3 linked regions of the Arabidopsis thaliana genome follow. The protein of the gene in region 1 interacts with the protein of each later gene in a pairwise test. Each region holds a gene or a part of one and is shown in the gene's direction. Other genes may lie near its edges.

Evidence for each region.
Region 2: the proteins of AT5G09460 (region 1) and AT1G64625 interact in binary tests that used the Arabidopsis thaliana proteins (3 or more experiments, as listed by UniProt).
Region 3: the proteins of AT5G09460 (region 1) and AT3G21330 interact in binary tests that used the Arabidopsis thaliana proteins (3 or more experiments, as listed by UniProt).

What each region holds. Positions count from the first base shown.
Region 1 is NC_003076.8:2,943,136-2,948,617, reverse strand, and holds AT5G09460 (transcription factor bHLH143), read left to right. Parts: upstream 1-1,778; 5' UTR 1,779-1,930; intron 1,931-2,268; 5' UTR 2,269-2,763; intron 2,764-2,865; 5' UTR 2,866-3,041; intron 3,042-3,157; 5' UTR 3,158-3,200; coding exon 3,201-4,181; 3' UTR 4,182-4,880; downstream 4,881-5,482. Other genes in the region: AT5G09450 (Tetratricopeptide repeat (TPR)-like superfamily protein), read right to left, coding at 5,294-5,482.
Region 2 is NC_003070.9:24,014,666-24,019,808, forward strand, and holds AT1G64625 (Serine/threonine-protein kinase WNK (With No Lysine)-like protein), read left to right. Parts: upstream 1-1,990; 5' UTR 1,991-2,212; coding exon 2,213-2,307; intron 2,308-2,493; coding exon 2,494-2,583; intron 2,584-2,676; coding exon 2,677-2,740; intron 2,741-2,880; coding exon 2,881-2,922; intron 2,923-2,981; coding exon 2,982-3,071; intron 3,072-3,147; coding exon 3,148-3,924; intron 3,925-4,017; coding exon 4,018-4,119; coding exon of another isoform or gene 4,120-4,164; exon of another isoform or gene 4,165-4,192; coding exon 4,193-4,516; 3' UTR 4,517-4,606; downstream 4,607-5,143. UniProt on the Arabidopsis thaliana protein: Transcription factor that may regulate root development.
Region 3 is NC_003074.8:7,505,378-7,509,827, forward strand, and holds AT3G21330 (basic helix-loop-helix (bHLH) DNA-binding superfamily protein), read left to right. Parts: upstream 1-1,862; 5' UTR 1,863-2,193; intron 2,194-2,326; 5' UTR 2,327-2,342; coding exon 2,343-3,464; 3' UTR 3,465-3,809; downstream 3,810-4,450.

The sequences.
Region 1 (5,482 bases):
TCCACTCATCTAACCAAAGCCCAGTCTCAATTATGTGAACTGAAATTTCTATGTTTTGTTTTTTCACACTGAAATTTCTATCTAACTGTCTTTCTTTTAACATGTTTCAATGATTTGCTTCCGAATAGAACACATAATAATTGTTTCCTAAAATTTTAAGAATTTTGAAGTACATAGTAGGCATTTGGGTCCACTGATCTCACACGGCAACGACTATTCTCAAATCTCATATCACATCAAAATAAAGAAAAAAGATTCAACGAGAAATTAAAATCTTTAGAAAAAATGTTCCAAAAAGAAAAAGAAGTCATCAAGGCAATTAAGCACTTAATTCCCTGTGCATTTTTTTAATCATTCACTTGCGTCTCTTTCTCTTTTTCTTTTTTTTTCTTCTTTCACCAAACTTGCTTACCTCTTTATTCGTTTTCTTTTCTTTCTCCTATGATCATGGAATTTGGTGGATGCTCCAACGTTTTTCACCTCAATCACTTATTAAAATATCATGTACAATAGTTCGTAATTATATATGAAAAAACGAGTGGGCTAAATTGGTGTTTTATAAGCCACGTCAAAAATATTGTATTATTTAGCTAGCTACTAAACTAGTCAAATATGTTACAATGTATATAGTTCAATTTGTATCGCGTCATCGTAAAGACATAAATGTTCCAAATCATCCCACCCACACACCTAAAAAGAAAGGTTAATACTTTAAAAATAATGATTATAGAAACCACCAAAATGGTTAAAAACTCACTTCCACTATTTGGCTCATAATTATAAAGAAAAAACGTTGCCCCCCCCCCCAAAAAAAAAAAAAAAGTTAAAAAGAAGACGAACATATAATGGCTTTACTTTAACGAACTACTAAGAAATTCTCACGTTTATGATATTACATAATTATTAATTTATGGCTTGAAATTATGGATCGCGAGGGTTTGCCATTATACATCATAATTACATATATTCTACGTTCCACCTCCTCTACTCCTCGTCCCATTGCAACCATCCAAACTAATAAAAATATTTAGATTATTTCTACCATTCAATTCAAAATTATATGCATTTTAAATTATACTATATGTATTTTCTAAAATAAATTTAAATTGAACTGAATTAAATAAATTTAATTTTTCTTTATAAAAAATATGTGTTAGAAATATGAATTGAAACTCATACTAAAGTGTATTTTAGTTTTAATTTCTACTAAAAAGAATAGTAAAAAATCAAAATAATAAGACTATATCCAATGTTCAATTCTATTTTTTCTTCTATTTTAAAATTGACTCTATTTTAAAGGTATTTTATTTCATTGTATGACTCTAAAATAAAGTTTTCTCTAAAATAGAAAACAAATATAGAGTAAGTTGTCTTTTGTTCTATTTATAGAGTAATCTCTACATTTTTCTTCTATTTTAGTAGTAACTCTATTCTAAAATATATAATAGAGTAAAATTAATTATATTTCTTCTTAAATTGAGTTAATATTAAAATAGAAGAAAATAAAGTTGGGCAATGGAGATGGTGTTATGTTTTGCTCAAATGAGTTTTTAGAGTTGATGTTCCAGCTTGGTTATCTAAATTTTGGAAGAGAAAGAAAAATGAAAAAAAAAAAAAAAAAATCTGAAATAAACTTGGTTGATGTGAACTGTTTTTTTCTTTTTCTTTTTCTTTTCCTGGTCTCCATTATTGACGGTAAATAAAGTGGTGGAAAAGGGTAAAATCGTCACAAGAAATAAGAAGATGTATAAAGCAATGTCACACACTTCAGTCTTCACGCCCACTTTTAGTGAATTTGCTAAAAATATATTTTCGAAATAATATTCCGCTTTCTCGTTTCTTATCCGTTCAAGCTTTCGTGAATTCGTCTCATAAACCTCTCCACTCTCTCTGGATCTCCACGCATAGATCTTCCTCTGTTTTCCTCCATGTACGCTTCTTGGATTCACTTAACCATTGTTTGTCGCTGTGCTCTCTCTGTTTTTTTATTCCTCGAAAAAGTTGAATTATCAGCGAATTTGATGCAAATGTGTTTAAATCGTTACCAAAACGGATAAATTCTTCTATTTTCGTAGCTTGGCTTGCAAAATCCAAGCTTTTAGTTCTTGATTTTGCTAAAATAAATTATACTTGTTCAATGCTGCAGAACATGTACTTATCTTCTTCTGCTGTTTATGGTTTCTCTATCCTTTCAATTGTTGTGAATGTTTGGTTTCTTTGGTTTGTTATTACTGGAATTTGATGAGATGATTCTCTGTTTTGTAACAGAATTCTTCTCTCTTTCTCTGGATCACAACAAAGCAGTGAATGAGAAAAACAGCATGAGTTGGTTCACAAGGTCTGTTGATGTGTACCGTAAAGTTGTGAGCTTGAATCTGTATTGCCGAGTTATTCTGTAAACTTTTTCTCTGCCTTGAAAAACCCCATCTTCAATCTTCTTCTAAATCCTCAGCCTTTTCTAAACTCTTTAATAATGGGATCCCAACGTTTCTACGTTTTCCACTGTGACCAGTATAGGATCATCTAAACCCTTAAAGCTTCTCTTTTTCTTCTTCAAGTCATCTGTCTTTTGGTGACTTACTCTGTTCTGTGGAGAAACACTAGTTTTACATTCGAGAGTTTGGAAAAGTTATTATTATGGTAAGTCAATCAGCTGGTCAAACAAGATTTCGAACATTCAAGTACGAGAACAACGGAGACTCTAGCAGACCAACAATTGTAGTGAGAGTTATTGCTTGCTTCCAACCGATGGATAATTGTCAGGTTTGTTGCAGCAAAAATGATATTATACTCTTTTTTTTGTCACATTTCATCTCATAGTCCTGTGTTTCTTATCTAACACTTTTGTCTCTGTTCCACTTGCAGGCTGAATACTTTAGACATATACTCAAACCAGTGACGTAGTTGGTTTGTGAGCTTGTGTTTGTATTTTTGGAGCTGGCACCTTTTTTCTTTTTGTCTCTACTTTCTTATACGATTGTTTCAAGAAAGAATCAACAAGTGTTGCGTTCCACACATTTGAGCAACAGCTTCCACAATCGGTATGCTAACTGAATCTTTGACTCTTTATGGATTATTGCTTTCTTGAGTTGGGCTACTAGTAGTTGTCTCATTCATAGCCATGTCCAATGATTAGTCCCTTTCCTTTTTCGTGCAGTATTGTATTCCTGTAAAGTTCCCTTGGCTTAAACTGCAAGAGCATGCCTCTTGATACCAAACAGCAGAAATGGTTGCCATTAGGCTTAAATCCTCAAGCTTGTGTCCAGGACAAGGCGACTGAGTATTTCCGTCCTGGAATTCCTTTTCCGGAACTCGGTAAAGTTTATGCAGCTGAGCATCAGTTTCGCTATTTGCAGCCACCGTTCCAAGCCTTATTGTCTAGATATGATCAGCAGTCTTGTGGAAAACAAGTTTCATGTTTGAATGGGCGATCTAGCAACGGTGCTGCTCCAGAGGGGGCACTCAAGTCTTCTCGGAAAAGATTTATAGTATTCGATCAGTCGGGAGAGCAGACTCGTTTGTTACAATGTGGATTTCCTCTGCGGTTTCCTTCTTCTATGGATGCAGAGCGAGGGAACATTCTCGGTGCCCTACACCCAGAGAAAGGGTTTAGTAAAGATCATGCCATTCAAGAAAAGATATTGCAACATGAAGATCATGAAAATGGCGAAGAAGACTCGGAAATGCACGAAGACACTGAGGAAATCAACGCGTTACTGTATTCTGATGATGACGATAATGATGATTGGGAAAGTGATGATGAAGTAATGAGCACTGGTCACTCTCCATTCACAGTTGAACAACAAGCGTGCAACATAACAACAGAAGAGCTGGATGAAACTGAAAGCACTGTTGATGGTCCACTTCTTAAAAGACAGAAACTACTGGACCATTCGTACAGAGACTCATCACCATCCCTTGTGGGCACCACTAAAGTCAAAGGCTTATCAGATGAAAACCTTCCTGAATCAAACATTTCAAGCAAACAAGAAACGGGTTCTGGTTTGAGCGACGAGCAGTCAAGAAAAGACAAGATTCACACCGCTCTGAGAATCCTGGAGAGTGTAGTTCCAGGGGCAAAGGGAAAAGAAGCTCTTTTACTACTAGACGAAGCCATTGATTACCTCAAGTTGCTGAAGCAAAGCTTAAACTCATCAAAGGGTTTGAATAACCATTGGTGAAAAACCTACAACCCCTTTTGTCCTATTGATAAGGCATGTTTGGTTGGTTAAAGAGAAGACATGGGACAAAAGATAATCAATGAGGTAAAGGACTGATGAAGAAGATTCTCTCAAATTCATTAACGTGGGTTTGAAACAATTAGAACACGCCTGGTGACCCTAGTGGGACCGTATCCACTGTTCATCTAGCTGGATCAATAGTGGTTTACTTTTGGATTTGGCATGCTCTCTCAAAAAAGAACCAAAAAAAAGTCACTTTCTTCTGTGCTTGGAGTGGAAGAAAAGTGAAAGAAGGGAAAAAAGCAAAGTCTTGGTGCTCATTGATCGTTAATAATTATCTTTACTCGTGAGTAATAATAATATCTCTGTGAAGGTCTGGTGGTGGTGGGTGTGGATGAAGAAAAATCAAAAAGGCAAATATTGAAATTTTTGGAGTGGTTGTGACTTGTGGAAATTGAAATCTTCCCACTTTCATTAGGTGAAAATCTATGTCCCCACTCTCTCTTGTCTCATTATTACTCTTCTGTTGCTATCAATCCCATAACTTGTCATCTTTTTTGTTTTTTCTAATCTCTCTGGCTCTTAAGCTCTTCAAAGGCCTTGTAGTTTTGTACTATTGTAATGTTATTTGCTTCTGTTGTTTCTCTCATGGGTCTAAACATGTTTGTGTATCATGTTCATGTAATAAACTCGAGTGTTAATAATGGAACCTTCTTTGGCTTCTTACATGCTAGGATTTTGCTCTAACCTTTCAAACTATCATTTTTTCTATACCAAAAACAAATTTTGTAGACTTATTATTAAACAACAACCATACAAGAAAAACCTCCACAATCTATTTTTTGTTGTAAAATTTGGACTTTTTGAAATTTGACGTTACATATGAAATGTTATGGACCTTGCCTAAGGAAACACATCTTCCGACTATGCAGCAAAATCTTCTGGTGAGGAAATCTATGTGTCTCATGACCTCCCACGTAAAGAACAAAAAGATATTTAAGAATCACAGTGAAGAGAAGAAACCTCTATTTTATTCATCCACCATGATTAATGAGCTTGATCTGATTCTTCTTGCTAAGAGCATAAAATTTTCACCAACTTATTTCTCCATCTTAAGATGATCCTTCATTCTCCAAGCTGCATTTGTTATGCACCAAGATCAAGTGAAAGCCGCTGGCTATTCCCTCTAAACCAACATCTCGAAAAGCATTCAAGATCCTCAAGCAAGCAGAAGCATCAAACTCTGTCGTTTTAGACTCTTTCCACTGATGGATAATCTCCTCGGCTTCTCTCAAATGACC
Region 2 (5,143 bases), on another chromosome or scaffold:
ACTATCTCTATCTTAGTACATATATATGTGGACTAATGGTAGTTAGTTAGAGTTACTCTTAAGTTTTAAGCGATAAAGGAATTTTGTTTTGTTTTTGACAGAAAAATATGTTCTCTAGTCACATATTTTAACGAAAAGTTTTAAAATAGCTTATCTAACAAAAAGCAAGTGTACAACATAAAATCCAACTTTTGGATTTATTTCACCACTTTCGGACACAATTGTAATAAGAACGGAAAGTTTCGAAAAGGGACAATAAATCAACTAAAGACGAAAAAGGATTAAGGTGAAAATCTTGATGCCGTTGACTTTTGTTCTCAACGGCCATGATTGAGCGTGTGATGAGTATAAGAGACCAAATTATGGCTATTTCTAATAACCCCAAAAAATAAATTGATTGATGAGTTTTTCTTCATTTGATATGTAATTATAATCACTTATTCCATTTCAAGATTTGTGGATATCTATTGATATTCTCTACCACTATCAAGAAGCTAAAAGTGTATTAAGTGCATGTACATTAGCTTAGGCCGAGAAGTTTTTTTTTTTTTTTTTTAAAGGTGATGTATTTGTGGCACTTAGGCTTAGGCATGTAATGTGTGGTGTGAGATGTTGCGCGACTTGCGAGTAACAAAAATGGGTCTCAAATATTGAGGCATGTATTTCTAACGTTTGCTATATATGCCTTTGATGTTCTCTAAATTCTATTTTATATCGTATTTCCATAGTAATATTCAGTAAAATCATGAAATTCGAAGGTTGATATCAGAGTTTATATAGTATAAAGTTTTAAGATATAAATAATCCATTGAAAACTCAAAACATAGGTACAAAATAGCACCATGTACAAATAAATAGCTAAAATAAAGTAATAAAGTAACAAATTAAAACACGTTTAATACTATTCATGAACTAATGTTCAAGTCTATTTAACATTCACATTTTTCCTTGCTTGTGATCTTCTATATAAACTTAAAATTAAACATGCATGGTTTCCTGATAATAATAAGATGTTTAGTTATATTAAAGAAAAAAGATAGTAGCTCTCAAGACTTAAGGCGGAAGCATAACCTTATTTTTTTTAGGTTGGTACCACAAGAGACCACAACTAAACATTTGGATGAATATAGGTATAACAAATCTCTTATGATATGTATATATCTGGCTTATATATGAATGCATACTCTACGAATGTATGTGACTGCTGACGACATTGGTGTTAGACTGTTGATATAATTATATGAGGCAGTGGATCGAGATTTGAGAACTACTTAAGTCAAGATTATCATACCGAGAATTCAAGATTTAGGTGACACATATTTTGGGAACCTCATTGGCCCATACACTAAAGAGGCGGTCATTCTTTCTTTATAACTCTAAACCATATTTTCCAACCAAAAACGGTCGATGTTAAGCTTTAATATGATGTTCAAGATATAGGATACGAGGGAGAAGATGATCGCTAGAAACTCCACAGCACCATTTATCTTCCTCTGTTGTGGGGATCACATTCTCCTCATTTTTATTTTTCCATTGCACCAGTTTCCACTATAGAAATTTTCATCAAATGTTAGTTAATTAATCATATCTAAATATATTGAATACTATTAAAGTATATCATAAATTCGTATCGAGTATTTAATGAATCGATGATAAAAAGTAAAATCAAAATAAAATCTCCCTTTATGGAAATTATACCCTCGAAGATCCTCTCCCGTCCTAAATTTTTCAAAAGACAACAAATAAATATATAGTAATCAAAGCAAACTTTTTCACTAAACCGGCAATAGCCGGTGTAATTCACGTCACTTCCGGGACAAAAGCGTGACTGGACACCGGCAGACAAATCACATCAAATAAATAATAGTAATATATTTAATTCCTCAGACAAAAAGGCTCTTCCACTTCTTATCGAATTACAAACATTTCATGTTATTGTTTGGTTATATATATAGAGAGACAAAGCTCTTAACTCCTTTTTAATTGCTTGAACAAAAAGCAAAACTCAAAGGAATTTTCTCTGTATTTTTTTCTATCTGCAGAAAATTAAAGAAAAAAAGAGAAAACTCAAAAACCCACATTTTTCCTCTGTTTCCAGCTTTTCTTTATCTTTGGAGTTTGGTTTCTGGAGAAGACAAAAGTTGTTGTCCTTTTTAAGAGTTCGAGATCCTGCAGAAATTAAAAGGGCTCTTCCCGGCTTGGATTCCTAAATATGGGTTCAGAGTATAAGCATATATTGAAGAGTCTCTGTTTAAGCCATGGATGGTCTTATGCTGTGTTTTGGCGTTATGATCCCATCAATTCCATGTAATTTCTCTCTTTTTTCTTTCGAATGTTATATGCATGTTCCTGTCTTGGATAATATTTGCATAAAACTAGTTTTGTTTTCCGTTGATTTAGGCAAAAGACTGAATTGCATATCCTCTGGTTTTATATGTGGCTTCCCTACTTTGGTGTCCATAAATGTAATTTAGTTTTGTTGAATTCCATCAGGATATTGAGATTTGAAGAAGCATACAATGATGAACAATCAGTCGCACTAGTTGATGATATGGTTCTCCAGGCTCCTATCTTAGGCCAAGGGTATGCTTTTACACTTCACTCAAATCTTTTATATATCTGTCTCTGTGTTTGTGTTTATATATCTTCAATATACTTTTCTTTTGATGAAATTAGAATTGTGGGAGAAGTAGCTTCATCCGGAAACCATCAATGGCTGTTCTCAGACACATTGTTTCAGGTTTGTTCACTTCTTTTTCTTGGTGTTTGATTTTTCTCATCTGTGAGCTATAATGTATGTCGAAATATAGTGACTGCATAGAACATTTCATGATGAAGAAGAAAAAAGATTTGATATTCGTGCGTTTGATTGTTTTGCAGTGGGAACATGAGTTTCAGAATCAGTTTCTCTGTGGCTTTAAGGTAATTTATATTTTGTCTTCTCTCCAAGTTTAAGGATTCATATATCCATTTTGAATCAGATTCTTATACGGCAGTTTACTTATACACAGACTATCGCAATCATTCCACTAGGATCCAGCGGCGTTGTTCAGCTAGGATCTACTCAAAAGGTTTGCATATATAATTATATAACAATGTTTTCTTGTTGTGGAAGTCATGGTCTAATTACTTACTATCAATCTTTAGATTCTTGAGAGCACAGAGATATTGGAACAAACAACAAGAGCTCTCCAGGAGACGTGTTTAAAGCCACATGATTCCGGTGATCTCGATACTCTGTTTGAGTCACTGGGAGATTGTGAGATTTTCCCAGCTGAATCTTTTCAAGGATTTAGCTTTGATGACATCTTCGCTGAGGACAATCCTCCTTCTTTGCTCAGCCCTGAGATGATCTCCTCTGAAGCAGCTTCTTCCAACCAAGATCTGACCAATGGAGATGATTATGGGTTCGACATTCTCCAGTCTTACTCTCTGGACGATCTATACCAGCTGCTCGCTGATCCACCAGAACAGAACTGCTCTTCCATGGTGATCCAAGGAGTTGACAAGGATCTTTTCGACATTTTGGGGATGAATTCTCAAACGCCTACAATGGCTTTGCCACCTAAAGGACTCTTCTCAGAGCTCATAAGCAGCAGTCTTAGCAACAACACTTGTAGTAGTTCTCTCACGAACGTGCAAGAGTACTCTGGTGTGAACCAGAGCAAAAGACGGAAGCTTGATACATCATCGGCGCATAGCTCAAGCTTGTTCCCTCAGGAGGAGACAGTAACAAGTCGGAGTTTGTGGATTGATGATGATGAGAGATCAAGTATTGGAGGGAACTGGAAGAAGCCTCACGAAGAAGGTGTGAAGAAGAAAAGAGCAAAGGCAGGAGAAAGCAGGAGGCCGAGGCCTAAGGACCGTCAGATGATACAAGACCGTATCAAGGAGTTGCGAGGGATGATTCCAAATGGAGCTAAGGTAAATTGAATAATAATATAGTTTAGTTTAGGGCATCCAAATTATAGATTAACAAATGCATTCTCTAATAAGTTTCGATATATATTTAAACAGTGTAGCATAGATACGTTGCTGGATCTGACCATAAAACACATGGTGTTCATGCAAAGCCTCGCCAAGTATGCAGAGAGACTCAAACAACCATACGAGTCTAAGGTAATGAATCAAATATATCCATTCAGTAAGTACACAAGTGTTTGAGTATTGATGAGTGAATGATGTTTATCAGCTGGTGAAGGAGAAAGAGAGAACATGGGCGTTGGAAGTGGGGGAAGAAGGAGTGGTATGTCCGATAATGGTGGAGGAATTGAACAGGGAAGGAGAAATGCAGATAGAGATGGTGTGTGAGGAAAGAGAGGAGTTCTTGGAGATAGGACAAGTGGTGAGAGGATTGGGATTGAAGATATTGAAAGGAGTGATGGAAACAAGAAAAGGACAAATATGGGCACACTTCATCGTACAGGCAAAGCCACAAGTCACAAGGATTCAAGTCTTGTACTCACTTGTTCAGCTCTTTCAACACCACACCAAACATGATGATTTATTATCATAGTATAATACCTACCACTTTGATTTTCTTTCTTTTTGTTACAACAACAACACAAGAATCTGTTGATAAATAGTAGTAACATTACATCAAAGAAGATTGTATGGGCTCGTGGAAAAAAAAGAAGAAGATTGTATGGGCTTTAAAACATTGACTAAGACAAAGAAAGAAGGCCCATTTAAAGAAAAAAGGAACGTAACGACACCGTTTTGGGTGGATAACAGTTAACTGACTGAATCAGAAAATAGATGCCCGTTATCCTTGACGAGGATAAAGGGGAGACACTGTATATAAATAAAAAGTTGAACAAAGATCAAATCCTCAATCTGTTTTTAGGGTTTCGAGAGAGAGAGAGAAATTGATTTTTGTTGATATTTGTGAAATTTGGTGGCGAAATTGAAGCTTCTTCATCGGTCGTTGTCTAAAAGCAATGGTGGATGGTTGATGAATGGAGGAGATGCTCTTCTTCTTCTATCCAATAACAATAATAAGAGACACGACGCTGACACAAACGCAGAACCATCTCACCACCGTCATCATCTCGGAGATGGCCGCCACACTCCTCTGTTCCCGATCTCGATTCCGATCGGCGATCGACTCCTATTGCTTCGCCCGTGAGGCCTTCTCCGATCC
Region 3 (4,450 bases), on another chromosome or scaffold:
TGTAGTAACTATAACCGATTAATTTGACATTGCCAAACATCAAAAAAAAAAAATTGTTAACTTTAAGATGATCTTTTACTATTATAGACGGATCACCGACTTATGTGACGGTTAAACTACTAATGGATTAGTGTGGATTAGTGACGACTTTGAATAAAAATAGGAACTAGAAAGTTATCAATATTGTAAAAGAATGTTCAAAATTTACAATTAGTATCTCAAATTATAAATACTACTACAAATTGTTCTTACATAGTAAAGATATAAGTTCATACAAATATACAATAAAACTATATTGGCGTTATTGGTTTAGGTTCTCGAATGTTGGTTATTTCAAGCCTAAGGAGGAACGACTTGGGAAATAAGAAGCGACTAATAATGTACTTCTCTACTGGTATATGGAAATTACAAAGTTTTCGAAAACTACTCCAAAAAGTGTTCCACATCGATTATATATGATATCATGATTATATATAATCAAATAAATCCACAAAAAGAGTGTTTGGTATTTTTATATAACACGTTCTAGCCAAAAGAAATGAAGATAAACTATACAAGAAAGTGTTGCTAGATAGATCGAGATGAGGATATTGATCATTATTGACTGATGATGATAGCGAAAAGGTAAATTAAACAAACACATAGAAAAGAATAAGAAAATGGTATAGATAATAGAATCATGAATTACTTTTACAGCTTGATCATTTTTAAAATAAAATATACAATCAACATTAATCTGTTATTCACCAAAAAATAAAAGATCCAAAACCTAAAACTTTCTTTCGATCTCTCCCTTAAAGTTTTCAGTTCGCACGACGCTAAAAGGATTGTCAGTCCTTTTTCTCTGCTCAAGCACTCGTAGATTTTTAATTACATATCCCTTTTCAGTATTCATCAAGTGCATAATCATATAGTCTATGATTTTTATCAAGTATTATATCTATTTTCTAGGGTTTCAAAAAAAGATGCTCTTCGATTGCAGAAACTATTATGCACACCAACCTCATTTAAATAAATATATAATTCAATCGTCTAGATTATTTTCTATATTTTAATACAAATCATTCGGTTAGCTTTAGGTTAATGAATCAGTGATCTCACTTTTCTCTTTGCGCGTGTGACATTATTTTTGACCATGAAAAATTAAATAATTTTGGATTAAGAAATTATTAAATAATCCGGTTTAGGAGATGTTTTAAGTTTAGATTCGGGAGTGTTGTAAACTCTAACGTTTAGTTTCGGTGACAACTTTTAAATTCAATTTTGATAGTCGTGTATCTATTATCCAACAAAATCTCACTTAGAGATATCAGATATATCGCAAAATTAATCGAGATCAACTTCAATAGTTTCATCTTCTACGAAAGTAAAGTTGTCGCCGCCGGCGTCTTCAATTTAACGTGTCGATAACGTTCCATATTCGAGTTTGCATATGCATGTCACTGGAAATAATAGTTAAATCATCTAAATCGCATCCATTAATGATTTGATCATCATAAAATTTGGTAAAAAAATTACCTAACTCAAAAGTAAAATATAAAAATTAATCGTTTGAGTAGTTAATTAGTTTACCGGTATACTAGTTAAAAGTTTTTTTCCTTTGACGGCGCTCATATATATGTTTTAAAGTATATCAAAATAGGGATTTAATTCTTAAAGTTACACTAATCCTAATTCTTAAAGTTAACCATCCATACCAATTTACAGAAGTACAGAACTAGTGCTTGATACAGAGGAACAATTGATCTCATCGAAAGTTGGGACCTTTTTAAAAATAATACTATTATATATATATAATAAATATACAAATATATTTAATATTTATTCTATATATAAATATGTGCATAATAACAAATCTGAGTATGAATAGTAGGAGGGGTGTATAGGGCTTTCAAGTCTTTTCTTACAGAAACTATCTATAACTCTAGCAGAGAGCTCATTATAGAACAGAACAGAAACAGAGCTTTCTAAGTCTACAGCACAGAAATAAACCTCATTTACAGACTGTTTTACTTTCTTTCCTTTTTGAGCATTTCTTCTTTCTGTTTCTTTCCTCTGTTTTCTCTTTCTTTCCCTTTTTGGGTGTCATCTCTTTAAGACAGAAGAAACGTTTCTCAGAGTTTCCTGTGAACTCATCTGTTTGTTCTCTTCTTCCGGTTTCACTTTTTCATGTCCTGCCGTTATTACAACGAGGTTGGTTTAAAGATCAGCTTTTATCATTTTTCCCTGCATGTAACAAGAAATATTTAGGTTTCATGTCTGTTTACAAATATGCTCTGTTTCTAAGTATGCCTCTCACATTTGTCTTTGTTTTGGGTGTTTTTAGGATTGTGTTTGATCCGATGGAAGGATTGGAATCTGTGTACGCTCAAGCTATGTATGGAATGACACGAGAGAGCAAAATCATGGAGCATCAAGGATCAGATTTGATTTGGGGAGGAAATGAGCTAATGGCTCGAGAACTCTGTTCTTCTTCTTCTTATCACCACCAACTCATTAATCCGAATCTTAGCAGCTGTTTCATGTCTGATCTTGGAGTCTTAGGTGAGATTCAACAGCAGCAACATGTTGGCAACAGAGCTAGCTCGATAGATCCATCATCACTCGATTGTTTGTTATCTGCGACGTCGAATAGCAACAACACCTCGACGGAGGACGATGAAGGAATATCTGTGCTTTTCTCAGATTGTCAGACTCTTTGGAGCTTTGGTGGAGTCTCATCTGCAGAGTCTGAGAACAGAGAGATCACTACTGAGACGACAACAACGATAAAGCCTAAGCCTTTGAAGAGAAACAGAGGAGGAGATGGAGGAACTACTGAGACTACAACAACAACAACAAAACCTAAGTCTTTGAAGAGAAACAGAGGAGACGAGACAGGAAGTCACTTTAGTCTTGTTCATCCTCAAGATGATTCGGAGAAAGGAGGTTTCAAGCTTATATACGATGAGAATCAATCGAAATCAAAGAAACCAAGAACAGAGAAAGAACGAGGCGGTTCTTCGAACATTAGTTTCCAACATTCAACTTGTTTGTCTGACAATGTCGAGCCCGATGCTGAGGCGATTGCACAAATGAAGGAGATGATATACAGAGCGGCTGCATTTAGACCGGTGAATTTCGGGTTAGAGATTGTGGAGAAGCCTAAGAGGAAGAACGTCAAGATATCGACGGATCCTCAAACGGTTGCAGCGAGACAGAGAAGGGAGAGGATAAGTGAGAAGATTAGGGTTTTACAAACATTGGTTCCAGGTGGGACGAAGATGGATACTGCATCAATGCTTGATGAAGCTGCTAATTATCTCAAGTTCCTTAGAGCACAAGTAAAAGCTTTAGAAAACTTGAGACCCAAGCTTGACCAAACCAATCTCTCTTTCTCTTCTGCTCCTACATCGTTTCCATTATTCCACCCATCTTTTCTTCCATTGCAAAATCCTAATCAAATCCATCATCCAGAGTGTTGACAGATTATAAACTTTTGAGTTTCATCATCATCAACAGAATCATGGCGTCTTGATTGTTTTAGCAGTTCTCAAGAAAGGCAACTTCTGTGACAAGGGTGGTGTCGGGCAGTGTTGTTTACACTTTCCAGTCTTTGTTTTGCATTTCTTTTTATATAAAGTTTGTATTTTATATAGAATCTGTGGAATTCGAGGGTTGAAATATTGTGAAAAACAGAGCCGCAAGAGGTTAATTACAGTCTCTGCAATATTTTCAACCTTTTATTACTTTATTAGAGTAAAGATAGCGTAAGATAATTGCAATTATGAAGCGATGATTATCAACAAAAGTGTTTAGAAAGTGCCTCCATCTCTCTCTACTTAAAAAAGTTTAGCTTTACTTGAAGAACTCTTTTGGAGTACTAAAATATAAAATTAATATTCATCCTCTTTTTTTGGTACTCAATAAACTCTGTCTGTCTCTGTAAAATATGTATAAATTTCGTATATCTATAATGCAAGGTTATTTAATTTGTGTTACTTATCCATATAAAAAAACGATTTTAGTGGAAGAACTTATTATTGTCTTATAATTTTATTTTCACATAAGTGTTTTTTTGTCTGGCTCAAATACAAAACATAGTTTGGATGGAGTTTAGTAAGAGTTAAGAATGTTGAAGGCGTGCACCTTGAGAATATAACTTCACCTGACTCGTACACCCTAAAATGCTCACCACATGCTTCTCTATCTCACTCTCCATCTTTTTATTCTTCTTTTTTGTCTTTTGGTTTTTGTCTTATTTCGTCCCTAAATCTCCTTAATCACATTCTCTTTCGTTTAATAGTATTTTATGAAGTTCTTTTGATGGATGTGTTTTTTTGACTTGGGTACATTGACTATCAACTTTTTATTTATTCGCAATAACACTTACTTAATTGCTATTTTCAAAATAACATGCTATTTTGTTCTAAGCTTGGTTTACATTAAGAAAGTAACATGCTCTTGAGCT